4 linked regions of the Caenorhabditis elegans genome follow. The protein of the gene in region 1 interacts with the protein of each later gene in a pairwise test. Each region holds a gene or a part of one and is shown in the gene's direction. Other genes may lie near its edges.

The links.
Region 2: the proteins of unc-37 (region 1) and unc-130 interact in binary tests that used the Caenorhabditis elegans proteins (3 or more experiments, as listed by UniProt).
Region 3: the proteins of unc-37 (region 1) and pax-3 interact in binary tests that used the Caenorhabditis elegans proteins (3 or more experiments, as listed by UniProt).
Region 4: the proteins of unc-37 (region 1) and mab-9 interact in a two-hybrid assay, tested with the Caenorhabditis elegans proteins (2 studies listed by BioGRID).

Annotation. Positions count from the first base shown.
Region 1 is NC_003279.8:6,741,256-6,748,280, reverse strand, and holds unc-37 (Transcription factor unc-37), read left to right. Parts: upstream 1-2,951; 5' UTR 2,952-2,956; coding exon 2,957-3,037; intron 3,038-3,089; coding exon 3,090-3,233; intron 3,234-3,485; coding exon 3,486-3,996; intron 3,997-4,083; coding exon 4,084-4,279; intron 4,280-4,332; coding exon 4,333-5,080; intron 5,081-5,598; coding exon 5,599-5,757; 3' UTR 5,758-5,974; downstream 5,975-7,025. Other genes in the region: fnci-1 (FANCI helical domain-containing protein), read left to right, coding at 1-200, 681-772, 869-1,004, 1,887-1,949; W02D3.12 (Succinate dehydrogenase assembly factor 4, mitochondrial), read right to left, coding at 5,975-6,213, 6,262-6,292; cytb-5.2 (Cytochrome b5 heme-binding domain-containing protein), read right to left, coding at 6,517-6,849, 6,901-6,993. UniProt on the Caenorhabditis elegans protein: Transcriptional corepressor that functions with the neural specificity gene unc-4 to govern motor neuron identity. In concert with unc-4, represses the expression of VB-specific genes such as ceh-12, thereby preventing the adoption of VB motor neuron fate.
Region 2 is NC_003280.10:11,279,339-11,285,395, forward strand, and holds unc-130 (Forkhead box protein unc-130), read left to right. Parts: upstream 1-2,627; 5' UTR 2,628-2,656; coding exon 2,657-2,994; intron 2,995-3,428; coding exon 3,429-3,755; intron 3,756-3,995; coding exon 3,996-4,332; 3' UTR 4,333-4,621; downstream 4,622-6,057. UniProt on the Caenorhabditis elegans protein: Probable transcription factor. Binds to DNA sequence motif 5'-CTGTTTCA-3'.
Region 3 is NC_003280.10:10,143,723-10,153,150, forward strand, and holds pax-3 (Paired box protein 3 homolog), read left to right. Parts: upstream 1-2,847; 5' UTR 2,848-3,125; coding exon 3,126-3,167; intron 3,168-3,597; coding exon 3,598-3,695; intron 3,696-3,740; coding exon 3,741-3,837; intron 3,838-4,535; coding exon 4,536-4,719; intron 4,720-5,128; coding exon 5,129-5,203; intron 5,204-8,233; coding exon 8,234-8,523; intron 8,524-8,582; coding exon 8,583-8,723; 3' UTR 8,724-9,143; downstream 9,144-9,428. Other genes in the region: F27E5.3 (uncharacterized protein), read right to left, coding at 356-470. UniProt on the Caenorhabditis elegans protein: Transcriptional activator. Regulates the lateral/ventral epidermal cell fate decision.
Region 4 is NC_003280.10:513,617-522,933, forward strand, and holds mab-9 (T-box protein 12), read left to right. Parts: upstream 1-2,407; 5' UTR 2,408-2,539; coding exon 2,540-2,593; intron 2,594-2,871; coding exon 2,872-3,030; intron 3,031-3,693; coding exon 3,694-3,791; intron 3,792-5,602; coding exon 5,603-5,698; intron 5,699-5,753; coding exon 5,754-5,931; intron 5,932-6,350; coding exon 6,351-6,518; intron 6,519-6,562; coding exon 6,563-6,639; intron 6,640-6,775; coding exon 6,776-6,976; intron 6,977-7,818; coding exon 7,819-7,828; 3' UTR 7,829-8,019; downstream 8,020-9,317. Other genes in the region: slc-36.2 (Amino acid transporter transmembrane domain-containing protein), read left to right, coding at 8,996-9,294. UniProt on the Caenorhabditis elegans protein: Transcription factor. Involved in cell fate determination; required to pattern the posterior hindgut.

The DNA of each region.
Region 1 (7,025 bases):
CGATGGTGGACGATCATATTGGATTCTCGAAAGGAAAAGATGAAATGAAGAAAAAGATTTCACAGAAAACAAGATATGCAAAATCGAAACGAGACGAAAAACTATTTTCAAAGTTTTCACACGAAAGAGAAGCTGTTCAACATGGAATTCTTGTTCTTTGTAAGCTCATTAAAGATGATCGATTTGATCTTCAGATCAAGGTACGTAGATATATCAATTGGGAGTTTAAATTGTAATTTATTTCGTAAGAAACTTATTTATTCCTTTTGTAGCTGTCATTAGGGCTGTGGACGAAAAATTGATTTTTTTTCTAAAACATAAACGGAATAAAATTTCGCCAAAACCCAAAAAAAAGACAAAAACAACAGTTATTACTTTCGAAACTAGTCTGAGGCGTTTTCACGAAAATTTTGAACCTATAGACATTTTCGAGTGTCGTTTTTTGACAAAAAGCGTAAAATTTCAAAATGCATACATTTTCGGGTAGTGAAAAGATAATTAAAAATGTCGCTTTTTTTCGTTTTTTTATATCAATTTTATCCGGTAAAAGCACAAAAAATAGATTTTTCGCCAGAAACACAGAATAAAGCGAAAAATGCAGCCTTGGCTGTGACCTTCAAGCTACAAAATTATATATTTGAAAATCTTTTTTTTAGACATTTTCAAAAATATTTTTAAAGAACAATTCAATTGGATATCGTGACTTCCGAATCGATATGGAAGTTCTTCGCAACAAATTGAGCGGGCAAGCTAATGAAGAAGTTTGTGAACCGTACGTTTTAAATTTCAAAAAGTATTGTTTCTCCAGTTTATTATTGAATCCTCTTTTGTTTCTTTAAATAATTTTCAAGTAACGAGATGCTTTCAGAGCCACCAAACGAGGCCGTAGGGACCCAAGTATGGAAGATGAAGAAATAGAAGAAACTGAAGAGAGTACAACATCTGCAAGAAGAAGCTCCGAAGAACCCGAAGAGCCAAGAGATCAAGAGAACACTGTTGGAGTGGTATGTGTACGAGATTTTATGAGTTGTGTAACCACTACTTGAGCTGATTAATTCTAAGGCCGAAAAATATTTTATTTGGACAAAAACTTTAACTCTAAAAAATAAAGTTTCAAAAAACAATTCGGCAATTAAAATTTCGAAAAAATTAAAGTAAGTCTCCATATCTTTCAAAAATCTTACAAATGTTAAAATCCAAAAATAGTTTACTGTTTCAACAATTCCTATGATGTTTTGAATAAAAAAGAAATCATTATTTTTCAATATAAATTGTGGATATTCGGTGCGAAACTGTTTCAATGCGCTGATTAATAGGACCACATTTGTGTCAAATGTTCATTTCAATTTGTGAAATGATCTAAAACAGCGGCATCCCAGACATAAAATGTATGTAGTTCCAAATGCCTCGACCACATACATTTTATTATTCTCATTCACCCATTAAACATCCCTTTTCCATCAACCGACATCAATTTGACCCAAGGTGACCCTTATATGGGAATTTTCTATTTCTGGAACATAAATCTGACTTTCATTGTATTCGTTGTCATAATGATGACATAAAGTGCAAACAAATGTGTACACCATCGTCTCACCACCATCTGTTACACACATCCAACCAATTATCGCCTTCTCGAATCTTTGAATGTTTATAACCACCCATCACATCCCTCCTTTTTCGATAAAATCTAACATTGTGGGAAATGAATGTGTCAATTACTGAAATGAAATGATTGATCAAAGGGCATAACCTTGTTAGTTGTTGATAGCTTCATTTACCTTAATCCTTATATAAATTTACGCTGCCCTTAAATCAAGTGTCGTGTTCAAGAATATATTTTTCACGAGACGACTTGCACTCTTAATCTAAAAATGTATTTTTAGGTGAAGCAGGAGGTTGATGACGAAGAAGAAAGTGTCTCCAGAGGCACGAGTCCAGTCTTCTGATCAGTTAGCAATGAAACGACAATTATATTTGATTTCCTAATGAGTTTAAACTCTCGAGTTTTTATATGTGTAATATATTCTTCAACACTCCGGAATGCTTCTAATTAGTTACAAATGACAAAATGGAGCTTCATTCATGTTTTGGTTTTTTTTTAAATTTTCATGACTGCTACAGTATACCGTCTTGTTGTTTAATCTAATAGAATCATTCAAGAGTTTTTATTCTTTCCATTTGAATCTCAATTTTCACTATTATCATTTGATTCTCATCTCATTTTCTTACCGATTTTCAATCTCAAATTATTTAAGAACATACCATGTCAATAAACTTATTATTTGTTAAACATGATTTTTTAAAAATATTTTCTTCAAGACAGGTTTATGTCTCTTTATTCAATATTTCAACCTTTTCCGTTTTTTTAGATAATTTTGTGAGTTTTTTATACTGGAATTGTGATTATGTACATGTAAAATATTTATAAATGCTTCTCTCTATAGTAAGTTGCAGCTTCATCGTGTTTGATTCGAAATATTAGTTAGAAATCCTCGGATCCTCGTGTTACTTGAATATCAAACTTATTGGATACATTCATCTTCTACACTCGGGCTCAAAAGAGCTCAAAACAAATGTGCTCTATCGACAACTCCTCCCCCCATTCGGTCACCCATTCAGCGTCGCATTCATCGCCGCGCGTTCGTCCTCCTCGACACCAATACCTCCTTCATTCTTCAACGTTAGTGGGGCTATATGACCAGTCGTTTTGCAATTAATGTATGATTCTCTCCGTCTACACCACTGGAAACCCATGTCCTCTTTCTTTGTTTCTTCGTCTCGTTGTCAACGTCTATTCAAACCACGTGCTATTTCTTGAGTTTTGTTGTCTTCTCCCAATCCATCACTAGTCTGTTCTTCCTTGCATTTTTTTGATCGAATTTTTAAAACTCCTCTCATAATTTTTATGTTAATAATTCACTATCCACTTGATTGTATTTAATTTTCAGTAAAAATGAAGGCATCGTATCTGGAAACCCTCGATCGAATCAAAGACGAGCATGCGGAAATGTCGAAGCATGTCAACCAGCAACGAGTAAGCTTAATTTTGTAAGAGAAATTTTAGTATATTGAAAACAATTTTGCAGTCGGATATCGAAAAGGTTGCGTTAGAGAAAGAAAATATGAATAGATCGTATATGACGTACGCTGAAGTATCAAATACTCTTCGTAGCGATCTTCGAAAAGCAGAAGAAATCAACAAACGCCTTCAGGAATTCATCATGCAATCGGTAAATTAACTCGTCAATAATGTTATTAAAAAATCGAACAAAAATATAGAAAAAGCTATTACAATTTTTTTGTTGAAATATTTGAACTAAATATTATGGAAACGTTATAATATCTATTGGATTGTACCTTGTTCAACTCAAACATGCTCCTCTTTCCATATATTCATTTATAAATAGAAGAAAAATTATTATGTAATATTTTTAATTCATAATAATCAATTTTAGGTAATATTATAAATGTATATTTTTCAGTTGGCTCCTCAACTATCTCAAGATAATCAAGCAAACTGCCTCGCCGCACTGGAAGCTTTCAAAACCGCATCACCACGTGAAAATGGAAATGGAGCACCAGCACTTCCACCAGGTTTTCCTCCCGGTGCAGCTGGAATGCTTGGAATGATGCCAAATATGCCATTCGGAATGAGCCCTGCAATGAGTCAACTATTCAATCAATTCGCATCACCACATGTCAACGGTGGAGATGGAGCCGGTGGAAGTTCTGGAGGTGCAAGTGAAGCGAAAAAGGCCAAGCTGGAAGATCCAGATGATGGAGAACTTGAGATTGATGTCACAAATGATGATCATCCAAGTACTGCATCAAATGGAGGCGCAGCTAATAAAAATGGAAGAGATAGCACAAATAGTGTTGCCTCATCGGGAGCATCTACACCGAGCATCGCATCAAATTCTAGAGCAAGACAACAACAGCAGCCACTCGCTGGGCTTCAAGGATTGGAGCAAATGAACTTTTTAGCTGGATTCAGTACGTGTTTACAATCTTTTGAAGTGTGCTAAGTGGAGGGAGCAAATACCAAAACTTCAGGCAATGCCAAAATATTTCAATTTTCAGATCCAAATCTTCTCCGACAAGCTAGTGCTGCTGGAGGATTCAACTTTTTGAATGATCCCCATGCACAGGCCCGTCTTGCAGCTGCCATCGGGCAAATCGGTAGCAGACCGGCCTATTCATTCAAAATTGTGGACGGTGGAGTTCCAACACCTACATCCTTCCCTCCAGATGCACAGAAAGGTCCCGGAATTCCGACGTAAGAAAATATAATAATTGGCTTTGATTCAAATTTGAAAAAAAAAATTGCAGAGGTCTCAAGAAGAAAATGGAATTAAATCACGGAGAAGTAGTTTGTGCGGCCACAATTTCCCGTGATAACAGTCGTGTTTATACTGGTGGAAAAGGATGTGTTAAGATCTGGGATGTCAAAGAATCAGATATTTCTGGCGCAACGGTTGTGAATCGGCCTCCAATTGCATCCTTGGATTGTCTCAAAGAGAACTATATTAGATCTTGTAAACTCTTTGAAGATGGAAATACACTTCTGATTGGAGGAGAAGCCAGTACTGTTGCTCTTTGGGATCTTACAACTGAAACAAAAACTTTGGACTTGGAAACTGATTCACAAGCATGCTACGCGTTGGCGATGTCACCAGATGAGAAATTATTGTTCGCATGTCTTGCTGATGGAAATATCCTCATTTATGATATCCATAATAAGGTGAAAGTTGGAACCCTACCTGGACATCAAGATGGAGCATCATGTCTCGATCTCTCAAAAGATGGTACAAAGCTCTGGTCAGGTGGTCTTGACAATTCTGTTAGATGCTGGGATCTTGCACAACGAAAGGAAGTTGCGAAGCATGATTTTGCGAGCCAAGTTTTCTCTCTTGGATGTTGTCCAAATGATGAATGGGTGGCTGTTGGTATGGAGAATAATTATGTCGAGGTTCTGTCAACAACTGGAAAAGAAAAGTATCAATTGACACAACACGAATCATGCGTCCTTTCGCTCAAATTTGCGCATTCCGGAAAGTTCTTCATTTCAACTGGAAAGGTATGTTTTGATTATACTTTGTCATTTACCGTATTTCTTCTATTAGTATGGCCTCCCTATTAGACTTGCACTCCCTATTAGTATTGCCCCTCGGAGACCTTCCAAAAATTAGTATGGCACTCCCTATTGCACTCTCTAATAGTCTTGCGTTTACTTTTTTTTTATTGCAAACCCATCTCGCTAATTTCAGGATTTCAACAATATTTTTTGCCTATTGTGCAACAATTTTTCACAAAATTTATACGAAATTGAAGTTTTTGAACTTATAGGTTACAATTAAAATCAAAATTTTTTGTATTTTTACATAAGATTCGAGCTTTTTCAGAAAAAAACTAGTAAGCTCAAAGTCAGAAAAATATTCTGAAAATTAGTATTGCACTCCCTAATATTCTTGCACTCCCTATTAGTCTTGCAAGCGGGAAGACCATCGAAAAATAGTATTGCAGCCATATTAATAGAAGAAATACGGTAATTGGCTCAATTTTTCTAATTGAAACCTCATAATCTCAATTTTTCAGGACAATGCTCTCAACGCCTGGCGTACTCCATACGGAGCATCACTCTTTCAACTAAAAGAGAACAGCTCCGTTCTCTCATGTGACATCTCATTCGACGACTCACTCATTGTCACTGGATCAGGGGAGAAGAAGGCAACTCTCTATGCAGTTGAATATTAATTTTTTTCCGCAGTGAATTTATGATCATGATACTCAAAACCCCTATTCTGTACGATAATCGTTTCATCTCTCTCATCTCTTCTAATTTCGTTTGTCAAATTTTCGTATTTGTGTACCCTATTACGATTAATGTCACTCTATGTTTAAAACATTTATTTATTTGCACTACAAAACAATGATGATCTGACTTGACTTTAACAGCAATTAATAAAACATTTCAAAAATCTGAAACTCTTCCCTTCCTCTCCCAATCACCATATCGAGTTGGCTCTGGTCCAGCTGGTCCACCAACTTCTCCAGTTGACTTATTCACACCTCCCGGATGTTTCTTGAGGTGAGGATCTTCATATTGTTGTTCGTCTGCTTTATCAAGTGCTCCTTTCGGTGTCTTCTCAGCCATCACCTTCTCCTTCGCACTTTGTTTTGGTTTTATATCTGCGAATCGGCGGGAAGAATCTGAATCGTCAAGAAATTAGAAAATTGTTTTTTGTGTAAAATCCATACTCAAAATTGGACGAAGAATCTGACGAAGCATTTGATCTGAATATTTTTTTTAATTGTTTCAATAGGACTAATCTTGCGACTAAAGTTACATCGATATCTCCAAGGCTCCACCCATTTTTCCTTCAGTAACATATGAAAATATTGACAACAAATCTTTATCACATATATAAAAGTCCATAGAAACAAATGTTCTTTGATGCATTTCAAGAAAGTGGGCGCATAAGATCAAAAGAATAGGATAAGAGCTAAGGTAATTTAATTGAACATGCACTTGTACACGGCATAAATGACAAGTCCCATTGTAGTTGGAATCAGGAAGTTGGTCCATGTTGGTGAAGTCATAATTTCGGTGAAATCATTGAGGAGAGATGATGATTTTTCGTTTTTCGAAGGTTTCGCAGCCGCTGTCTCGACTTTTGGAACGTCTGATTCTGGCAATTGACCAATGAGATATTCATTGGCCATTTCAATAGCATCTTTTGAGTGCCCAACATCGAGGAATCCAACTGTAGCATCTTTACCGGCTAATTGAGTGATGACTTCTTCACCTCCTGGATGCTCATTCAAGAACTTTGTCACATCGTAGACCTGTAAGGAATGATTTCGATATTTAAATTTAAAAAATGAAAAAAAAATTACCTTTCCGGAGATGACAATCCAACACGATTGATCAGCATCTTCCCAGTTGTGCTTTGAGACCTCATCGAGAGAAATGACACGTAGCTCCGACATAATTGATGAACCCTGAAACAAAAAATGGTCTC
Region 2 (6,057 bases), on another chromosome or scaffold:
TGTACTTTTTGTCTAAAATGGTTCTAATTATTTATTAAAATACCTTGGGTAGAATATCGAAGAGCCCAACTGGTCTCATGTCTCGCCGGAAAACGCGTCCTTTAGTTACTTGCGATCATATTTTTATGCTATTCGAGTTCCTTTTATGCTATTCGAGAGCTATTCGAGGAGCTACTCTTCTATTTTGGCTCTGATTATTTTTTGTCACTGTTAGAATTTCTATAGGCACGACTGACGACCGCTTTTTTCCCGGAAAACGCCCCACGTAAATTTGCACGCATACTTTTGGTTGGGAGCCAGTGGGGCGAGGATCCTCCCCTTCACGTAACACCTCAGTCTTCCGAGTAGGAACAAAATCGCAAAACTTTCGTGGTAAGACCACCGGCACCCCATAAACATTTATTAAGTAACACACACACAATTAATGCGTTCCTTCCCACTGCCAATCTTCTTATCAGAAAGATGAAATGACCGTCTCAACCGAGCCTGTGTGTCTATTTGTGTGTGGCCTTTGTAATAGTTACCACCTAGCTGATAACCGAGAAAGTTGGATTACCTCATGATTCCCTCATAAATTTGCCGACAGGTTCTTTAACGAAAACATATTTGTCTTTTGATTGTCTATTCTCTATTTACAAATTGATAATTGGGAGAATGCCACCCAGAATTAGTCGATTTAAAATTGAGTATGATCTACATAGATCTGAGTAGTGGTTGATCACAATGATATAATTATTATATATTAGTATCATTTTCTCTTTCTCTCTCTCTCTAAATTCACCCTGTCATCAGTGATGATTCTCAGTTTCGAGCGGCGGAGGGGCGAGCGTGTGGGCGGAGCCGCGTGTCCAATGAGCGTGGGGCGGGGCGGTCCAATTACCGGTGTTTTCTTTCGTTTATTCGCTTTTTGTGACTATGACACCAAAACGGAAGAATCAGTGGATCAGGCAAAAATATTATTATTAGAACTAATAGTTGGATTTAGGTTGGGTATCATTCTGTACCTATTTCACCTGATTTCTTGTGCTTCACTTGATCTTTGTCTTTATTATTATTGTTATTATTGTTGTTGTGCTCCTTGTTGTGCTCCTTATAAATCCCGTAAACTCTAAATCTAAATTGTTATCTAATACTTTTTATTGGTTACCAATAATATTACTTCTGCCAAAAGAGGCAAAACGCCGCGTTTCAAAAAATGAAAATTTTTATCTGTTGTTCATCACTGTCAAATTTATGATTATTAATATTTCTCACCATTCAAATTAAAACTTTTGCTTCAAAACTACATAAAACATTCAAAAACTTGAAACAAATTTTATTCGATTTTTGCAAGTTTTTTATTTAAAAAAAATTATACCGTATTTTCCCTAGCATTCATTTTGCTCATATCTCGGTTGTCCCAAGTTTTATCAAAAAAATTTTAACTGTCATAATGTAGAAAAATAATTTTTCCATAGTTTGTAAGTTGACAATTTTTTGATAGAACCAGAGAGAATCGAGATATAAGCTGTCAAAGAAGAGCAAGGTGCATGCAAGTCAAATAGGAAAATAGTGGGTTTTCCGGTTTACAAATTCGCATAGTTTTGAATTTTTTACAGAGTTTTCACCATTTTAGAGAATTGCTCACATTTTCTGAATTTTTTTTTCAAAAAATTAACTGGTACCTAAATTGAAATTTAAATATTTTGAGCAGAAGAGGTGAAACTCTTTTTTTAAATTTTTTAATTGCTTCTCATATTGATACTATTCTCTTTTTGTGCCAAAACTTCTAATCAATGCCCCGCTCCTTTCAAATCCTAAAGTTCCACTTAAAAACTGAAGAATCAAAAATCTTGAAACCTGTACTGTATGTACTCTTCCAAAAAACCACCTCCGTGCTTTTCATCATTTACAACTTGTCTCCCAGTCCTCGTCCGCAACTTGCTTTTGATATATTTTTTTCGACTTCTTCATTTCAACACATACCTACACACACAAAAAAAGTTTGCGCTAACACATGTCCGCCCGTCATAAATCTACAGTAATCTCGGAGCTTTCTTTCTCTCTCCTGATGCTCCCACACCACTCTGTCATTTTTCAATTGTTCTTCTCTTGGAAGCTCATCTCTCGTTTTCATTTGATCCTGCTAGAAGACACTTGATATGTTGTTTGTGTTAACTAAGATAACTGATATTGTTGAAAGTGATAGCTTTGCTTTGCTTTTCAACTTTTCGTGTTCCTCCTGCTCTTTTTTTTGACAGCTTACTAGTACCGAGTTCGGACCCCTGCATAGTACTACAAATATTATATTAATATGAGAATGATATACCCTTATTATCCCCCCACGTACTCTTGAGAATCATTAGTATGTTTCAATGTTTCGCCAACAATGGATTGGTATCATCTGCCCTTACCTACCGTACTCCCTCAAGTGCTCCCTCATCCATGATTACCGTACTCCCCTACTCTCCTCCCCCTTCTATCCGATTATAACATTTTTATTAATAATTATTATTGTCTGGTGTCTCGCGATGCCATCTCTATCTTACGATTTCGCTTTGAATTTTGATAACGCTATGAAAATATTAGCTTTTCTTATCTTTTTTATGTTTTACTTTTTTTCATAATTTTTTCATCAACTTACTTGCAGAAACTAACTAGGTAGACACCGGTAACAATGCTCTTTTCCATGGAATCAATTCTATCAAGTACCAAGCCAAAACTGGAGCCACCTCCGAAGCTAGAGCCGGAAGTGACAATCAATGAGCAAGTGGTTGATCTGCCGCGGAGCAACACACGGCTCTCCGAGCCATCAACTTCTGCGTCGGTTCTTGAACATGATTTGAAGTTTGGGGAGTCCCGAAAAAGAAGTCGGTCTCTTGGAGACGAGCCCACGGAAGATGAAGACGGCGTTCCAGTTCGGAAGGCAAACAAAAGAAATCATTCAACTTCAAGTGCTGCAGATAGCTCATCTGATGATGCGAAGGATGATGACGACGATGATGATTCTACATCGTAAGTTGGGAACTTGGGAAAAACTTAGGAATCTTAGAAGAAATTCGATTTTTCTCGACCTCGACCTTTTAGGTCCTTTTATACAAAAAGTTTGTATGCTCAATTTTTGTGAAACTTTGATCTCCGATATTTTTAAGTCTATTAGACATTGTTCAACTACCGTATTTTCCCTGTATGACTTGCATTCTCTTTACTCTAACTTGACGGTTTATATCTCGGTTGTCCTAAATCTTACCAAAAAAGTTTAACTGTAAAAATGTAGAGATATATTTACATGCATTTTGTCAGTTGACAATTTTTGATGAGACCAATAAAAACCTAGATATTGGCTGTCAAAGTAGAGAAATAGGTAGAGCAATATACCTATAATATGTACAGTGATATGTACAATAATATGTACTGTGTAAAACAACTGTAACTCTATAATTTTGCAGTCGAAAATCAATGTCTGGTCACCGAAAGAGCAGTCACGCAAAGCCACCGTACTCCTACATTGCACTCATCGCGATGTCAATTCTCAATTCACCGGAGAAGAAACTGACACTTTCGGAAATTTGCGAGTTCATAATCAATAAGTTCGAGTATTACAAGGAGAAGTTCCCCGCCTGGCAGAACTCGATTCGTCACAACCTAAGCCTCAACGACTGTTTTGTGAAGGTGGCTCGGGGGCCTGGGAATCCGGGAAAAGGAAACTATTGGGCGCTGGATCCGAACTGTGAGGATATGTTCGACAATGGATCGTTTCTGCGCAGAAGGAAGAGGTAAGGGGAGCACAGGAGAAAGTATTACAACCTGACGGGGAGTAGTAGCCGGCGGCGGGGTGAGCACACATACGAGATGTGAAGAGAGGGAAAAGACAGTTGTTTCGATAATTTGTCACCAATTTGTTGTCATTAATCGCACCCTCGAGGGTAGTGGAGAAGCCTGGGAAAAGAAAACTTTCGGGGTTAACAAGGGAATTAGTGAGATAAATTTTCAATTCAAACACTTAATAATTTCAGATACAAGAAAAACAGTGACACATATCACGAAATGATGTCCCATCATCCGATGCCATTCCCTCCATTCCTCCCGCAAGGAATGCCCTTTCCTCCAAGAATGATGCACCCGATGGCTAACATTCCCATGCTGGGACATCCAATGAATCCAAGAGCAGTTCCAAACATGCCAGCGTTCTTCATTCCACAAAATATTGATAGCCAGAAGCTCTTGTCAATGATGGCTTCGAGAATAATGCCAATGGATGCTCCAGTCAGCTCTGGCCAGAAGAGAACTTCATCGAGCTCCTCACCAAATGAGAATGGATCTTCGGCAGTTTCAGATAAACTGAGCGCTTAGAAGAACACTCAATTTCCTTGTTTAATTTTTAACAATTGTTTCCTATTTGCTTAACCTTTTCTAGTCTCTTGTTCCTTTTCCGTTCCCCTTCAATTCCTTTCAGCATTCTTCATTTCCCCTGATCTCAATCGTGCAATCAATAATCAATTTTTTGTTAATCCTCCTGCACGTGGTACCACAACTTCATTTCTTCAACTGATCTTCCCTTTTCTTTTTTTTCTTTGTTTCATTATCTGTGAAAGAGCTTATGTCGTAAATAATTCGAAAATATATATGTCCATCGTCAGCATTTTTGAAGTTAAAATCACATTAATCAATTGAGCAAACAGTAAGATGAAAGGAGACCGCAGAAGCTGCTGAGCCGATTAAAAGACTGAAATTGATAAGGGAGGGAAGTGACAAGACTGCTGCAGAGTTACTAGTCTGCAAAATGTCATGAATCCAACAAAAAATCAGGGTTCAGAAGACTAGGTTTTTAGTAGAAAACATACCGAATTTTTCAATTAGTCTTGCACCAAATTTGCTCTACTTTGGCAGCTCATATCTCGGTTGTCTTCAATTTTAACAAAACATTTTCAACTGTAAAATCATAGAAACATATATGAAAAATATTTCTACTGTTGAAATTTTCGTGATAAAACCAAAAGCAGCCGAGATAAGAGATCTGAAAGTAGAGCAGAAGGGGTGCAGTACTAATAGGAAAAGTACCGTAACTTACCTTTTCCTAACTTTTCTAAATTAGATGGATATATAACTGGACGCGAATATTAGCCACAGACAGAGTTCCTCAGCCTCCAAGAGTCCTCATTTTTCCATATAACCTGGCTCCTTTGGACTAGATAGAATTTCTAAAAAGACGACCTATGCCTACTTTTCTGTGAATAAAAACCATTAAAACCATAATTTAAATCAACATAAAGCTACTTGTTGTTTGGGCAAATAATGATACTAACAATTAAATGAACATTTTGAAAACTATGCTAAGATTATTCAAATGTTATCCTAATTACCAAAACCCTAGTTTAACTCGGTGACTTTTTGAACTCCCGCCAAACCATATAATTATCTCAAGCATGTCGTCTTCATTTCTATCCTAATTAGATACCCATACATAGTGTATATATGTATATTCAAACTATACAAAACGGATATTGCTTATCAAATTCATTCATCAGTTTGCCACGTCAAATCAAATTATCGAGAAGTGTGTGTGGGGGTGCAGTTTCACCTTATGCCACCTCATGTTTCGTTTGACGGCACATGGTGACAGGCCCGATGAGATTTTGAACCGTTTAATTGATACTAATCGGTATCTTAGGTTGTATTAATGTAATTACAAATACCGTATTTTTTAATGGTATGCACCTAACTAGTTAGAGTTATCAATTGTATTGGACCAACGAAAAAAGCCGATACAAGCTTTCAAAGTCAAACAATTGGGTGTAATGCTAATAGAAAAAATAAGATAGTTAGGAAAAAGGTGTTGCCAAAATATAGGAGCCTCTGCTACAGTAACCCGTGTTTAAAAGTGCCAATATCCTAATTATCTCATACAATGCAAAACTCTCCATCACCACCTGCAACTACTCCGCTCATATACAAAACAAGGATTATTTCAAGTAGGTTGAGCATAAAGATGTGAGTACGATAAGTACCGGACAATAGCCAGCCAAAAAAGGCTAACCGCCAAGAGTATTTCCATACAAAATGTGCGTCGGCTAATCC
Region 3 (9,428 bases), on another chromosome or scaffold:
GATCCTTCATCTGAACACTTACCCGAATATTTACCGCTCATCTTTCATTCGCAACTGATATGGAATTGAAATCCAAAATAAATTTCGATGGAGTTGTCAACGTGGAAATTTAATTTTAATCAGAGCAAGATATTTTGAAAAAAGGGGGAATGATTGTCACGTGTTTAAATAAAATTTCCATGTATTTTTTTTTCATCCGTAAAAATTATTAACTTATTTTTATAATTTTTAGGTTTTTTGATCTATAAATTAATGTTTGCATAGAACAATTGCCGCGCACCTCTGATTTGGTGGCATAAGTTTTGAGCAACCCACCCCTCCTAATAATACACAATTTCTCTGTGAATTTTCCCACCTTCCCGCTTCCGTTTCACCATCTGGTTCTTGTCTCGACACGCACAGGTCTGAAAAGACTGAAATCCTTCCAGACCTGCCGTCTTCCGGCTAATTACAACCAATGCCCACCACATGGCCTAAGATTACCTCGGCTCTTTTGTCGGGTGGGAGCAGGCAACAGTATATTTCCTAATCCGCAGCAATCTGCCACTTGTCGGAAGTGGTTGTACTCTCTCTTCCTTAAAGGTGTTCGATGTGACATGCGGGGATATTATCTTGTCACTTATAAAACACACTGCTAACCGTCTTCTTTTTGTCGACACTATCGAGTCTCAATTTCATTTTCCTTTGTCGATGATGTGTCAGTCGTTAATTTGCTAATTAAAGGGTGTTGATAAATTGAAGGCGTCCCTATCATTTTTCTAGTGATGGGATGCTAAAAAAAAATTGAATGTGGTGGGAAATATTGATGTTCTATTTCAATCTTTCTCTGCTGCCCAACCTATCATAGTCAATTAAGATTTTTTGCAGAACTTGAGAAGGAGACCGGTCGAAATCGAGCTGAAAGGTGTTTGGATTACTGTAGTCTTATGATGAAATACAAATAATAAGAATCCAGAACTTCGAACAATAAATGGAGACAGCTGTCAATAAGCTAAATTTTCAAGAATTTCATATTTTTAATTTGAAGTTAGTATATTTTCTAATGTTTCATTTCAAACAGTGTGTGCCTTTAAAGTGTTGTATCATCTATTTGAGAAATTACAATAATGACATAAGTATTGTAGAGTTTAATGAGACACTGTAACACGGTGGCTGGGACAAACTCTTTTCACATTTTGTCAACAAACTCCCGCACTCAGCCCATCAATTCTCCATAGATGATGCCCTTTTCAGATAGCGGAAAACCCCGCATCATCATCATCTCACACTTCTCCGGATAGATAGATAAAGATATATCCAAGTGTTACAAAGGTGTGAAGACCCCCAAAAGTTGACATCGGCGCGTGGCCCTTAATTATGACCGCATACCACTTCAAACGATACCGCCACCGTTTCTTCGTCCCCCTGATAACATGGTCCCAGATTATCAGGAAAATGGTGTAAGACAACCTTGCGCAATCCGGGAAGATGAAGAAGGAAATGATGATGTGACACGTGCCGAAAAAGAAATTGGGCCCTACTTGTTGATTGGGTAATGCACGTGTAGTTTTCAGGTGTTTTCGGTATTAAAAGGCTATTTGTATGGGGTAATAAAGGATTAATGACTAGGATTATTTCACATTATTTCACATATTTTCACGTTTTGTTTCTAACTGAAACTCACAAATAATTCTCCAATTGTGTAGTTTAGAATAGATTTATATCTTTAGACACCGTCGGTAAACAACTAAAAATACCATTATTCATCTCAATGACATAAACTTTCCCAACACGAGCCCTCCCAAACACCGACTCGCTAATTGCGAGCAATTTATTGATTGACAGTTCGCGGATGAACTTGTTTTGCACATTGTAGATCGAGATAAGACAAGTAGGTTCTTAAGTCGGGCCGACACAAAACAGATAGGTCTAAAAGAACGTCTGAAATTGAATAATCAGATAAGACAGAGTAAAGGGATACTGAAAAAAGAATAGTTATAGAAATACTTGAAAATCTGAATGAATAGAGGTGACAACTATTTTTCCAAACTTACAACTAACACTGGTCTCAAATTACAGATACATATATATGTTAGTTTTTTCAGATTTCAAATTAACCTACCCGTAGGCTGGTAGGCAAGAATGTAGTCGATCTTTGCAAAGTCATATCTTTAAATTTCTCATTGGAAATATTTGTACCGTATCCTCGAAGCACTTTTCCTCCTGACCTCTTTTGTTTGTAAAATATGTTTACACTTTTGAACACTGGAAATGAAAATGGGGAAATTGGTCATTGCCAACAAGTTACACTACTCTCGAAAGTTGTCTGTTTGTTCTATCTGTTCTTGTTTCCGTGAAATTGCAACTTTTGGAATATGTATGTTTTTGGTAATCAGAAAATTATTTTTGTGTTAGGTAAGTCCAACAAATCACATAATCGAAAAAGCAAACAAAGAAAGTAAACTTTGTCTGAAATCCATTAAGAAGCTGTTTTCAAATATTAGTAGCATGAATAATTCTAACGCTGTTTAAGCTTTTAATGGACATGAACGATTTTTAAAGTTTTGAAGTATTCGTTTCTGGTTCCAGTTTCATGTTAGAGTTACTTCTAGCTTCACCCAGAAGCACGGTGGACTGCTTAGATCTATGTAGCTATCTGCAAATATTTTGAATCTGCAAGATCCGCACGCTCCTAGATGTCCTTTTCTTCGAGACTATCCACAGGTGAATCACCATTTTGCAGGTGCTACTACCAAACATTGACCTTTCAAATCAAAACCATCGAGCACATAAATCTTCATCTCCAAAAATCCACCTCCTAGTCAGAATATCTCTGATAACAAACCCACATACCCCGCGCCAACATCTACTAGTACGTCCTTTGATGCTTACCGCCCGTGTCTTTCGCCCTTCTCTATGTCTCGCTGGTTTCGATTACCGTACTCGAGACTATGCATGCCTGTAACAGACCGCGCATGCGCATAGGTGGGCGGGATCGCCGTCCCGCCCATTCACAGTTCGACAAGGCGTGTCACCTCGAAACTACTCGCTCCTTAAGTTTTCACGCTATATACCTGATATTCACACATTCGGTATATTGGGGGCCAGCCATACGTGCTCCTGATATCCCATCCACTACTAACAAAATGACCACAGATTCTATCACATTTAATCACATTCTTGGGCAGGTAAGTCTATGGTTTCGATAAGTTGTTTTCTAGTTGTAGTGCATAAACTACTGCTCAGGTATTTTTTAATGTCTAGAAGTAGGAGATGTATCCCGGAAAAATTTGATTGAAGAAATTTTTGGAAATTCTAGATGGTTCTAGAATGTACGTTAATTTCGAATTATTTCTATACTGGCTCAGACGTTTTAAGGAGCTAAAATTAAGCTCTTGTTAATTATACAGTTTGAAGTTGTAGCCTATAGAAACTTTTGATTTATTGTTAATAGAGCTCATCAAGCATCACAAAAATTAGATAGTATCATTACTATAGTTAGCCTTAAGTTAGATTTTCATAGCATTTGAAAAGTTTTTGAAAATATGTTTTGAGTTTTCCAAGTCTCAATTTCTTCTCCTTTCTCACCGCCTCTATTGAAGCCCAAAATTAATTCAGGGTCGTGTTAACCAACTCGGTGGAGTTTTCATCAACGGTCGACCCCTTCCAATTCACGTTCGTCATGCTATCATTTCAATGGCCAAAAAGGGTATAAAGTAAGTAGTCCGAACTTCTAGAGAACACTAACAATAATCTTTTAGACCATGTCACATCAGTCGTCAACTCAAAGTATCTCATGGAGCTGTTTCGAAAATCTTGAATCGTTACGCCGAGACGGGCTCAATATCTCCGGGACAGGTCAGTGCATTTTCTGGATGATAAGATAATTTGCTAATTAGGTCATCAGGCAGGCGAATCATAACCATAAAATTTAATGTTTGCCTACACGTGCCGCGTGTCGTCGTCCTGATTCAAAAAAGTACCGTAATACTCAATTTTGGCGGGTCGCGCAGGTGCGACGCCCCGGGTGGCACTTTTCGGCATTTTTCAAAAAATGCGTCGGATGTCTGTGTTTCTGTTAAAGTAGTTGTTGTCTACTAGGTTTTTGGTTACCAAAAACATACGGTAATTACAATTCCAAAAAAAGTAAACTTTGAATTCTTGAAAATTCCATTTTGTTGGTTGCAAAACGGCAAAGAGTGTAGAACGGGGAGTGCAAATATACAAAACAATTTTTATTCATTTATAAACTTTAAAATCATCTCAAAAACAACCTGAAACTTTCCAAGAACTGATATCAAAACGTTTTCGGCAAATGACAACTTTGAAACAGTTTTTGAAATTTTTCTCGACTATTTCAATGCAAATAACTGATATTTTCAAACTGATCAAATATTTTTCTATCTATATTTCTACATTTAATTTAATAAAAAAAAGAGTTATAATCTGGGATTGGGCAGTTTTGTAGATTTGCCGAAAATATTCGTCATATTTCTTACATAAGCCTAGCGAAAGCAAATGCTTTTTAAACATAAATATCTATGAATTAATTTCAGATCGGTGGAAGTCCCCGCGCTCGACTTACAGTCCAAGCCGTCGAGAAAGAAATTCTGATCGCATGTGATGAGAATCCACAAATGAGCGCTGCAGAGCTCCGAGATTGGCTTATTCACAAAGACATTTGCACAAAAGGAAATGCTCCAACAGTACCTGCGATAAAAAGGCTTATTGGGAATAAAGGTATAATAATGATGAAAACTGTGAAGGCAAAAAAAAGGTAGAGGAATAGATGAAAAACAAACAGAAATTCGTTTCGTTTGATGAATGTTCCGCTTCTGATAGCTGTGGTTGTGTTTGTTTAACTGTTGACAACGATTTTTTTTGTTTCGAATACTTTCATGGAAACTTGCTTGGGCGTCATTTTTTGATGCGTGATTTTCCACAAAAATTCAACAAACCTCACAAGAAGAACTTCTAGACATATTCGATCAAATTATCACTTTCTATAACCTCATCAATCATTTCTTCACGCCAATCATATCATCTTTTTTGCTGCACTTTTTCATCATATCTTCCTTATCACTTTTTTTTGTTTTAATTTCCTTATCAATATTTATCTTCACACAAATCACCACATACTTTTTTGCAGGCGTCGGGGTTCCGAAGAAAATGGAACGAAAACGGCTGAGCTACAGTATCGACAGCATTCTGGGAATTTCAATTGGTAAGTGGTCTAATTGGAATAGTCTTGATTTCACACATTTATAATTTCGTTCCGTTTGTCTCATGTCCTCCAACACCTTTTTTGGGTGTCGGATTTCCTGTTCAATCAGGCAACATTCCGTTCTTTCAATTCAATTTTCTTCTGCCATATAGTAACACACAAACAGACGTAGCATGAAAGTTTTCATTCCTCCCAATATTCCCAAAGGGGCCAGAGGGCATACTGTATATTGGACTTCTTTGATATAATAACGGTCATTAACACTTTGATTAGTATCGCCTGTATGTCGCTGTGTATGTTAACGGTGTGATAAGACGATAAAGGCGAAGACGTTGAAGAAGTGGGGGCGGAAAGGACAAGAAGCGTCGGTGAAGAATGATGTGAATTAGACAAGGGGGCACGCGTCAGGGGTTGATTTTAATCAACAAGACCATCGTATTTGTTTGTGAGTTGCATGCTGTGCGCCGCCACGGAGATCTTCAGGGAGAGAACCATGACTGATTGAATTACGGGTTACGGTAGTGTACCGCATTTTGTTTCTCCTGATCTGCAACAAGCGTACCGGAATGTCCCGCGTGTCTTCAGGCCTACCTGTTAGCTTGCCTACTGCCTATTCGTCTACATCTTGGTGTGAAGTCTAGGGTCTGATGTTGCATTGTGAAGCCTATAGGTAGGTCGCCTTGATGTCCGGTAAGCAGGCACTTTTGATCCTAAAATCTTGTTTGATCTGTGCTCAGTTGTTAATCACATTCGGTAGGGTACGGTAGTTGTGCAAGAAAATCGTAATCTAAAGAAAGAGCATGTCAAATTCCAGGCATCATACGCCTACCTTGTAGGCACGCAGGCAGGCATTTTTATCATGTTCGGCACTCCAAACAGTTTCATTAAATCTTTGTCTGAAAATTCAAGTTTAACAACAGCTTTGAGACTGTTTATATAGAACGAATAAAAGTGAAATTTTTGGTTTTTAAAACTTCCAAAACTTTTAGCCTACTTTTTATAAGAAACTAGACAGCCACAAACTTATGTTTTTGCAAGTTACTTGAATTTCTAGGGGTCATGCCACTACCTCCTGCTGTTTCAACTTCTTGTCTTCCAAAACTTTCAACACTTCCCCTCTCTTCCTGTCCCGTTTTTTCCCGCTTCCTAACTTGTCGTCAATCTTGTCATTCCTTAAATTGTGAACCACCGCTCAACTTCGCACATTTTCGCATACACGTAGCAATTAAGATAGGGGGAGAAGATTTGCGCACTTGATAGGTGCCTATTCAAATAGGTAGGTAGGAGGAGGAGAAAACGATCCAATAAATTCCATATTTTCGCGGCCAATTGATCAGGATGGGCACACGAGTGACTGGCGCGAGAGAAGATTGGGATGCGCGAAAAAAAGCAAACACATGCATACGAACATAATACATATCCGCAATTTAACACATTAAAACTTTGACATTTGACATTTGACAATATGATTGTTAGGGATGTGGGTTACGGTATGTTGCGCAAGATCGTTAGTAGGTGTTGGTCAGCTTGCCTGGAAGGCAGGCAGGCATGACAGATCATTGTGAGCTTGTTTATTATCAAGTTTTTACCGAGTCCGAGTTACCCTCTCTCCACCACAAACCTTGAACCAAAGTTTGAACTCGGCGGTGCGGTAACGTGATTTTTCAGAAATTTCCCGAATTTGTCAGAATACTTCCATGATTTTCCACATGTCTATATTTCTATTACATTCATAAGTAACAAAAATTAATATTTTCCAAAAATAGGTAGCCGTTGAAAACACAACGCAACGACTGATATTTAGGTATCAGAGACTGGAGTGATAAAGTTCCAGGTGAAAAAAGAAATGGAAACAAAAGTTTCTTCTTCCTGGAATACGCTCAGAATACATTGCTCAATGGGAATATATTATAGCACTCCCCCGCGCCGTTCTTAATGAGCATTGGGAATTATAGAACGATATCGTTAAAAACTACAGTATGCTTAAGGGAGAATTCATTTTTGAAAATCTTACTCTACTCGGCAAGTAGCTAAAGTTTTCTGCAGACTATTACCAGAAAGAGGACTAAGTGCGGTAGAAATCTGCTTTGATTTGACAAGAACGGATGAAAAATATTAATGAGATAAAAGATCAAGTTGAGCATCCTTGAAATCGACATTCTTCAAATTAGAACATTGTATAGAAATAACCTTACCTTCCTTCCTTCCGTCACTATAAAATACTCCTGTGACAGAAACCGATTAGCGCACAGCTCATAAAACTTGGATGTGAGAAACGACGGTGATGATGGAGTGATCCGTCAAAAAATGGAACGATAAAAACAAATTAATAGGGTCCATTCCACCACATGATATCTCTTTCTCAAGTACACAAAGGTGTCAAGTCTATAAATTAGAAGAGACACCCCCCCTCCCCCACCCGCAATAGGGTCTCTCCCGATCTTTATCGATTATTTTTAGAGAAGTGTGTCTATGCGAGAGGCCTACGACATGACTGAGACCACCCACTGTGGCGCAACATTATATATAGTAATTGGGCGACTCGACTGGCAGGCCGTAGTCTTTCTCTGTTAGATACCTTACAATTGACTCATTGATTTCCGGATTTTGAGGGAAAATGCTTGATAGGCGGGGGTCTGATTTTGAATTTTTGAAATAGAACGTATGCGGAACTCAAATAATTTTCAGTCTCGAGGCAGGCGAGTCCGGAAGCCTTTCAGAAAGGCATTTCAGCATGCTCATTATTCATTAGAGCCTCCCTGGTATCAAATATATTCTAGTTGCAATAGTTACTTCAACTTTTGACGTCGCATGCTATTGAAAATGTTTGTTATTTTAATTACGCCTGGAACATTTGCCCTTTCGATTTTCAACGGATGAAAAAAATGGCAGATGAAAAATATTAGTTCCACATTTCGAAAGTCTGTATAGAGAGAGGATGTATAGAGTTTGTTAATGAAAATTCAAAAATGCATTCACGTACCCAAAAATGGTAGCTATGATAACCCCTTTCAAAAAAATAATTTTCAGACGAATGCAGCAAATCGTCATCGGATGACGAAGAGGGCTCTTCACCATCAAACGACGCATCGTCTCGTCGAAATCGTACATCATTCACTGCCGAGCAACTAGATGTTCTTGAAAATGCGTTCCGCGCAGACACTTACCCACATGCCAACGCCAGAGAGAGCATTTCCAAGGAGACAGGGCTCAGCGAAGAGAAAATTATGACGTGGTTTTCGAATCGGCGAGCAAGATGTCGGAAAAATATGCCAATGTATCAACAGTACAATGTTCAAGGTTTTGGATCATCTCCGCCGGTTAGTTAGAAATCGAAACTATATATTAGAAAACAAATTACTAAAACTTTGATTTTCAGTCCTACCCAACGCTGCTGCCTTCACCGATGATGTTCCTACCCTCCTACTCAACGAGTCCTCAATTGAATCCGTTATTCTTTCAACACATACTCCAATCAAGTCCCCCATCAAGTCAATCATCTCCGCCATCATCAAGCTAAACGCTTTGAACTTATTTCTGAACTTTCAAATAAAACCTGTGATATTTGAAAGTCGATCAGAAATTGATACACAAATTTAATTTGAAAGTCCAGAATTAATTTTAAAACATTACCTTAAGAATTCACCCATTCTTCCCAAAACTTATCTAAATCTCTTTGCCTTCCCTCTCATCAATTTGGTTTTAAATATTACGGTCATTGCACTAGTTCTTCGTGTTTTCTTCTTCTTCCCACTTGTATGAACTTGTCTGAAAATCTGTGAAAACCTTTTTCCCTATTCCAGATGACGCTATTGTTCTTGAGCATTTGTACAAGTTTTGTGTGCTCTCTCAAGCATTTGATTTCCATCATCTCATTCTCTCTCAAATTCCATATCTCATGAAGTAAAAAACACAAAAATAAATAAATATTCAGTTATTATTCCGGTCAACGATCACGAATGTTACAGAGATAACTAATAGACTTCAAATTTATTCAGAAGGCGGGGAAATTAAAGTCAATTTTTGATTTTATTACTAGAGATCACAAAATTTTAAAACCAGAGAAATATACTAAAGTTTTTGGGACTTTACGCTTGGCTTATGCGTGCGCTTTGAAATGTTATATGTAATTAATTGCAAACTCAGATTGAACTCAAACTCAGATTCAGATCGAAATTCAGGCCCACGGGCCTACCTCACAAAAAAACTTTATCAGAAGCTTGAA
Region 4 (9,317 bases), on another chromosome or scaffold:
ACCAACTTCACTGATAGTTTTAAAGTTCTAAGCCAAGAACTTTTATTTTTCTCTCTCCATATAATTCAGCAACCCCCAATCAAAAAGACCATCCTCCGGGGGGTACTGTACCTGCCTGCCAGAATTCATTTGAAATCGACGTATCATCGTAAAACGAGAATACACGGGGCGGCATGCAAAAGAAAAGAGGGATTGTGGTAAAACAACACGGTTCGGTTAGTACTCTCATCTATTGTTATGATAATAAGGTTGTAACAGACCCCTCTTGGATGGACAGACCCTTTATGGTACATGGATAATGGGCAGTTTGCAGATAATTTCAAACATGGCACGAAAATTACTGGAACTTTTAAATAAATATTTTTACTTCTTCAGAAACCTCATTGGATATAGTTTTAAAAATTGAAAATGTAGCAAAATTAAAAAAAAAACCAAATTTCCTTGAAATTTTTACTTAGACTCACATTTTAGATGAGCTTTCAGGAATTTGGAGTATTAAAATACCGAAAATTTTCTTCAAATTTGCTAGTCAACAATGAAATTATCCATGGAACCCGAATTTTTGCATTTCAAGCATTAATGTTATTTTGTATTTTTGAATAAAATCTGAGTTTTCCAATTTTGCAAGACTATTGTATTACTTAAAGCGAAAATAATAGTGGGGATTTTGTAGAGAAAACAGAAAAAAATCCTAAAAATTAAAAAAAAAACATTTTTCTTGTATTTTTAAAATTTTTCTAAAAAATTTTCTTCAAATTTTTATGCATACATATACTCATTATATAATACTTTAAATGTGAAATTTGAAAAGCTCTTCGAAAAATTTTAACTTTAATTGAAAACTTTAGGATTTTGAATTTTCCTTGTAATTGGGGGGTTTTTTTTTGAAATTTAAATTTTTTTAATGAATTCATTGGTTTTTTTAAATGTCTAGAACTAACAAGCTATCTAAAAACAACAAATTGATTAAAAAATAAAACAATTCCAATAAAAAATTTGAAAAATTCAAAAAAAAAGTTTTGTTTAAAAATTTCAACTCCTTTTAACTTTGCTCAAAGTTACCCTATCTACTTAATTTTTTGTTAAATTTTTTCTCCAAAATGTCGAAAACCACAAATATTAGTAAAACTAATCAGAATCCTACAAGTAGGCCCAGATATCTCTCAGATCATAAACCATTATCTGTGAGAACCATAAAAGGAGCCATAAAATGCGTTGCGCGCAAGAGAGAGAAGAAGAATGTGTGATGATAATTAGTCAATCTGTTCAACGGAGGTGATTACGATTACTGTACTACCGTATCGACAACCCGCTGTTTTCCTTTTTTTTTCTACCTGATTTTACAGTTTTTAGGGGTTAACTGGGGCATGTGTAAATAGGTACAAAGTGGAGCGTATTGATTTTCGCTTGAATTTAGCGAGATTTTAACCTTAAGTTATTGATTTTGATTTTTTCATTGAGAAAATTTAATTTTTACATCACTCTTGGACCTAAAAATAATATTTTTTGAGAAAAAAGAAAAATTCGACTTTAGTTTTTTTCTTTCAAATGTATGTCTGATAAATAAATGTCCTAATATATTTTTAACAGTTTCAAAAAAAAAACAATCGAATTCGAAAGTTAGCTAAAATATTAATCTTCAGAAAAGTTAAGCATTTCTGAAATTTGACGAAATTTCTAAAAATTGAAAGAATTTTCAAAATTTCAAAATTGGTCATTATTTAATTTTTTAAAATTGAAACAATAAAATATTTTGTTCGAATTCTATTAATAGTCATTAATTTAATATATTTAATATACCACGTAACTTTTCGAAAAATTCAGGTCAAAATTTGACTGGAAATATAAATTTCCATCAAAATTACGAGGTTTTGAAATTTTTTCCAAACTTTAATTTTTTTTCGAAATTTTGGAATATTCGAAAAAACTAAGGTTTTCAATAATTTTTTATTTGTTAAAACTGTGTTTTAATTACATTTCATGTAAGTTTGAAATTAAAAAAAAATTTCAGCCTTGAAATTTCAATTGAAAAATCCAGAAAAATAGCCTCACAAAATTCAATAAATTTGGTGTAAAAACGTAAGTTTTGATGATTTTTATTTTGATTTTTTTGTAAAAAAACATAACATTGCTTTAAAGTCAAAAATAAACAGGAAATATTGATTTTCAGCAAAGTTTAAAAATTCTAGATTATTTTTAACAACTCCTAAAATTTTCAAAATTATAAATTCATTTATTTTTAAAACAATCTTAAATTTAAGAATCTAAAGTATTCAATTAAAATTATGGAACATCTGGACCCCAGTTTTCCCTTCAGAAGCTCCTCCCACCTCCCTTTCTGCAATTGGCCAGCTCCGCCCATTTACTGGCGGAGGGGTGCTTGTGAAATCGGAATTCACACTTATATATTCTCAAGCTATTCTCTAACGTATTCTTCTTTTAATTCGGGGAAAATATCTGAAAATTGTCAGAAAAATAACTGGAAATTTTTATAGTCCCGGAGCTTCTTATTCCATAAGATACTAAATTTTGAAAAAAAATGTCAAAAAGATGTGCAAGTGATAGAGATGATAAAGATTCGGAGCCCGTTAAGGTAAGCTTGGCTGAAAGTTTTTTAAAAGGATTTGTGGAGTTTTGAACTATTTGACTGAAATATTAAACAAGTGTTTTCTGGCAGAAAAGGTGTATTTTCAGCGTTAAAACTGCTAAAACCCGGTTTGAAGCTATCTAAAAAGACAAGAAAATCAATAATAAAGTTATCTGGAAAGATTTGTAATTTCTCGTATTTTAAGGGAATTTCTCTTACCATTTTTTGTAATAAAACACCTCAAAACTCCCAAAACGCCTCCAAAACCCAAATTTTCATTCCAGAAACCCCGTTTTTCGATTGCCAACATTCTTGATGAAGTAGAAGACGAGGAAGATGTGGAAGTTGATGTTGAAGACGTGGATGACGTGGATTTATCATCAATTCCATCGAAAAGTCCTGAAAGATCAAGGGGTCGGCCGAAGATTGGCTTGAAAATGAAGGTGGGCTACTCAGTTCATTTTTTATTTGTACTGAAATTAATAGAAAATATAAGTTTCGATAAATTTGCTTCTTGAACCAACTTTCTTGGATTCAAATGAACAAAGTTATATGAAACAACAGCGTGGCTTTAATATTGGCTGAGTAGCGGCTCAATGACTCCGTATCACACTAATTCATACACAAATCGACGCAAAATTTTAGGATCTCAAACTTAGTCTTTTTATCAAAACTCTAGCGTCAAAATGAGCACATATATGGCGATTTGAAATATTTGGCTGAGTAGCGACCTTTTTTTGCTGAAAAGCCCAAAATTTTCAATAAAATTTGGCAAGATTTGAGGAAACTCCGTATCACCTGGGTCGCTACTCAGCAAATTATCAAAATTGTTTTAGCTTTGTTCATTTTGGTCATAAAGAATTGAAACAAAATACATTGTGTAGCTCATAAAAATTTGCGTCGATTCGTGTTAAATTCGAATTTTATACGGAGTCCTTGAGTCGCTACTCAGCCAATATTGACAAAAAACGAGAGTTAGCCCACAATTTTCAAATTTTTTGTCTAAAAACTGTTTTTTCTTGGTTTATTAATATTTTATTATAATTTGTAACCTATATCATAAAAATAATTTTTGTTTTTAATAAAAATGAAAAAACATTTTTCAGGAAGGAAATCTACCAATCGAGTGCAAATTAGAGGGGTCCGAGCTATGGGCGAAATTCTTCGATTTGGGCACAGAGATGATTATCACAAAAAGTGGAAGGTAAGATTTATATTACAAAGTTAACGGGAAATTGCAAAAATCAAAAAAAAAAAAAAGAAATTTAAAATTTAGATAATTTTGAGATTTTGATAATGGAAAATTTTTTCTTAAAAAATACGATTTTTTTTTTTGAAAATTTGAAAATTTCTTTTTTTTGGAAAAAGAAACGGATAAACCCTTTTATCTAAATTACTTGTTTCTTTTTCTATTTTGTTACCCCATTTCGAGCTAATTTGTGAAAAAAGGAAGATCCTCTTTGACCCTCTTTATGGACCCCCATAAAGGAGGGGTGTATACTAGTTGTCACTTAGTTAAATGAGCTTTTTTCGCGAATTTTCGGAACATTGTAGGTGGGAAAACACAAAAAAATGGTTAGTTAAAAAAAAGGGAAATTAGGAAAAAACTTTTTTTTTGAAATTTACAAAACAATTTTTTGAGTCAAATTTTTTTCTGAAAATCTATAACAATTACTTTTTGAAGGCTTTTTTAAATGAATTATTAATTTTTTGTACTGTTTTTAAATATTTACTTTAAAGTTTATAAGCCAAATCGTTGAAAATTGTAAAAATTAATTTTTAAAAAGTTACTTTTTAATTTCATTAAAATATTTTGAGAGAATTTAAATTAAAAAAACAAATTTTTAAAATTTTGCATTTTTAGGAAATTCTAATTTTTTCACAAATTAAAAAAAACTGAATTTTACAAATAACGCAAATTTTTAAATTATCTAAATTCAGAGTATTATTTTTCAATAATGGTTTAAAAAATAGTATCCTATAAAAAACAATAACTATTCAATTCAAACACCTAACATACCCCAGGCACGGCCCAAAACCAAATTTTAAGCGAAGATCGTGGTAAAATTTTTTTGGACGATTTCCAAAATTATGGAAAAAATTTTTTGTAAAAATTTTTGAAAATTCGAATTTCAAAATATTTTCAACAAGTTGAAATCTCTACAATTCCACCAAATTTTTAAAAATATTACTACAACCACGTTTTCTCAAAAAAAATCAATAACCCGTCCCGATCCGAACACCTACAGTACCCCCTGTCAAAGGTACCCCGCCCAATCAATTTGTGTGGTTTGTAGGGAATATGGTTGTATTTGTAATTGGTTTCATCTTTTTGAATGTCTTTTTTTTCTTCGTCGTCTTCAACATTTCTCTGAATACCCATCAAATACCACATTCATCAATTCAGAAGATGTAGTAGTACGGAGGGCTGTGATTGAATTCTGTCTTTGATGGGTCACTTGGGAATTAGGATTACTGTAGAATAGATAATGATTTTGGTGATGGGAAATGTCAAGTAATATAGAAAAATAATTAGAGTACAAAATATTGAAAATATGATGAAAAAATGTCAATTTTGAAGAAAGTTATGATGGTTTAAAAAAATTTGAAAAAAAATTGGAAATTTTTCCAAAAAAAGTTTCACAAGAACTTTTGTGGAGCTTGAAATTTTTTGAAACTGTGTGTAATCTCTGATTATCAGTTTAGTCAATAAGTTGCTAGTTCACAAATTATAGAACTTACATTTTTGAGTATTCTGCCATTTGAAAATTGTCTGATAGATTCCTTTGTTTTTAAGATCCATGGGTTTCTAGTTTGTCTCAAAAAGTTTTAGTTTCCAATGCAAACCCCTAATTTTGGCAGTGGCAAGTGACATTCAGCTGAAAATTGTGGAAAATAACTAGAAAACATAATAAGTTTCAAAAAAATGCCTAAAGAAAATCTAATTCTTTTTACAAAATTGTTTTTTCCAAATTTTCCAAATTTTTCCAAAGTCCCTAATATATATGTTTCCAGGCGAATGTTCCCAACAGTTAAAGTTTCCTTCACAAATGTAATACTAGATGCTCTATATTATATCTTCCTAGATGTAGTCCCAGTGGACTCCAAAAGGTAACTTTTTCCCTTCAAAACTTTTTTTCTAGAAATTAAATCTTCATAATTCCAGATACCGTTACATCTACAACAAATCAGCTTGGCTCACAGCCGGTAAAGCGGAGCCTGTGCCAAAAAATCGATATTACCTTCACCCGGACTCCCCATTTACCGGTGATCAACTGCTGAAGCACGTGATTTCGTTTGAAAAGACTAAATTGACAAATAACGAGGTGGATAAGACGGGTCATGTGAGTATTTTCATTTGAATAAAAATTGTATGGAAAAATTAAAGTTATTTTCGATGTTGTTAGGAACATTTTGAGCATTTTTCAGGGCCCTAGCTACTTATCGCACAAATTGGCTGAGTAGCGACTCTGTCTCCGTATCACAATATATAGCATTTTACGCATAATTTCATGATCTCCAATTTTTTCTCTTGGACACAGATCCAGCAGTTCTCATTTTTCTACTTTTTGTTTATACTTTTTCACCAGCTCAGAAACTTAAAGATTAATCGGTCAAATTTTGAAAAAACTCCGTATCTTACGATTACCAAGTCGCTACTCAGCCAATTACCAAGATTGTCATAACTTTGTTCATTTTGGCCCTAGAGACTTGCTCCAAAATACAAATCAGAAGATTTTCAGACTAAAATATGAGTTTTCAGCTAATCCTAAACTCAATGCACAAATACCAGCCACGTATTCACATTGTCCAACGCCAGAAAGCCAACCCCTTGGACCCCAACAAAGTAGTGATGAGTGAAGAAAAACACTGCACCTACACATTTCCAGAAACACAATTTATGGCAGTGACGGCTTATCAAAATCAGTTGGTATGGCTACTAGGTTTTTCTGAAAAAAAGTTCTGAAATTCCAGATAACAAAGCTGAAAATCGAGAAAAACCCTTTTGCAAAGGGGTTTAGGGATCCTACAGGAAGGTCGCCGGATGAAATGTAGGTTTTTTTATAGATTTTGGGGAGTTGGCGGTTGTTACAAAAGATTGCAAATTTTTGAAAAATCGCAAAAAAGTTATATACTAAAAAATCTGAAATTTTCGAATTTCCTACTCAAAACCTCTCAATTTTTCAGGGAAAGGTCCCCAGGCGACATGATGCTCTCCAACTTCTACCACTCCTCTGCTCTGCAGCAGGCAATGTTTCAGCAGTGCCTGAGCAAGACTCTTCAGTTGAATCCATCAATTATGATGCTTTATCAGAATGTTTTTCCAACGGGGAATTCGTTGCCAGCAGCACCGACGGTACCCGGCAATCCTGCAGAAATTTCAATAAAGTAGGTTTTTGAAATTAAAAAAAGGAAAATTGAATCCGCGATACACCCGTAACGCAGAATACAATTCTTTCTCGAAAAGAGGAAATTCGGCTTTATTTTGTTGCTCGCTTCAATTTGACACCCATTTCGATATGATTTGCTCAATTTTAAAATTTTAGACAAAACCGCAACGCGACCGCGACGCAGCGGCGTCGCATAACTAAACAGCCTTTCCGTAAAAGTAATTAGCAAAATTAAAAAAAAATTTTCCTGACAACTTCAAGGTTCAATCGCCACATAAATTTTTTGTTAATTAATTTTTTGCGCAAAAACCGCGACGCGACCGCGCCGTGCGCCCAAAAGTTCGAAATTGTCAGAAATATGTAAATCAGCACGTGGTGTCAAAGTGTCTCATTTGAGTTTGATCTACAAAAAATGCGGGAGAAGAGACGCAGACTTTTCAACTAATTTCGCATGATTAAGAGCGTGTTGACGTCACGTTTTTATGGGGAAACATTCCCGCATTTTTTGTAGATCAAACCGAAATGAGACACTTTGACACTACGTGAATCAGCTTTTAAAAACTCAAACGTTTAACTTTTAAAAGAAATTAGAACATTTTTGAGTTTTAAGAAGCTTCATATCTGAAAATCTCTGAAACTTCTTTAACTTCAAAATGTTCAAAGTTCTCAATGATTTTGATAGTTTTGTTTCAAAGTATGTATTTCTTTTATTGAGAGTCCTCATTTGACACCCAATTCGACTGTGTTCCTCAAAATTTGAAAACTTTCACAAGAACCGCGACGCGACCGCTCCACATACTAAAACTGAAAAACTTCTAGCAAAATGTGTATATTTTTCAGATCAGAATAGCTCGCTGCAAATCGTCTTCCACGTGTAAATAACGCAATTGGCCATTTTTTGCAAAATCTTTAATTTTTTAGTGTAATTTTTCTGTAATTTTTTGTGGTGGTATTCATATGATATCCGGTTTTAAATTTGTGTGCATGCATGTGTCTGAATATTTGAATTTGAATAAAAAAATTGATGTAAAAAAATTAATTTCACTTTTATTCTTTTGGCTGAATATCTTGGATTATGGTGAAATCGGTTGTCGGATAATTTCAGAAGATTTTAGAATCTTTTTAAAGAACTCACTATAGTTTTTGAAGCGTTGGACAAAATGGTTTTGGAATTTTGATTCAAGAGAAAAATATGATACGAAGCCATAGTATTGGCTGAGCAGCGACTCACCAAAAAAGTTTTCACTGAAATTCAATAAATTCGCACCAAAAAATCGAGTGATTCCCCCCGGTCAAAGTGTTCTGTGTAATTAGAATTAGGCCAGGAAAAGTTTCCTGATAAGTATATATGTGCACATCGCAATTTGTCTTATCATTTCGCCTTCCTTATCACCTGCCCTTCATCAATAGCTCTTTTTGTTTGAAACAAAAAAAAGTTGCCATCTCGTTTTTCTTTACTTTTTGTTTTAATTAGGGAATTTCCAGTTTTAAGATTTAAAAATTGCAACAAATTTGACTTGAAATTTAATAGAAAACTTTTAAATTCGGGAAAAATTGTTGAAAATTGATACAATTTTGAACAATAAATTTGAAAATTAAAAAAAGGGTAGCTCAAAAACTGCAGTAACAAATTTCAAAATTTTGATTTTGATACAATTTTTCTTTTAAAAATTCATAAAAATCAATAATAATTATAAACTTCAACATTTTTTTTTCAAAAAAAGAAAATACGGTTTCAATTTTGTCTGAAAAATTAATTTTTTTAAATTTTTTTAAAAACTTTTCTAGACTTGTTTCTAAAACTGGCATTTTCGTGGAAAAATGTTTAAAACTATATGAAAAATCTTTTAAAATTGGAAAATACAACAAAAATTACTTTAAAGTTTTTCAGAACTATTCGAGTTTTTGGTATAATTCGAATAATTTTCAAAAAAACATATTTTTTCTTAATTTTTTTTCTTAATTTTTTTCAAATATTCCCATCATTCATTTTTTCTAGGTTTTCAGCCAATTCACAATGTCAGTATCTTCCTACGATACTGCTCGTGGCAATGAGCTTCTGCCATTACGGGGCTCTCACCAGCCAACAATGGGTGAAATGTTCGCCTCCAGGGTTCGAGATTCCCGATCAATCACTGCTGATCAGGCATTGATCCATATGATAAAAGTGATGATGGGTACTGGAATGTTATCACTACCACTCGCGTTCAAGCATTCTGGAATTTGGCTCGGGCTCATTCTTTTGTGCTTCATTTGTTTGATTTGCATCTATTGTACCAGGCAGTTGATTTTTGGACAACATTATATTACTTTTATGTAAGTTTTTCAAGGCTTTGAAC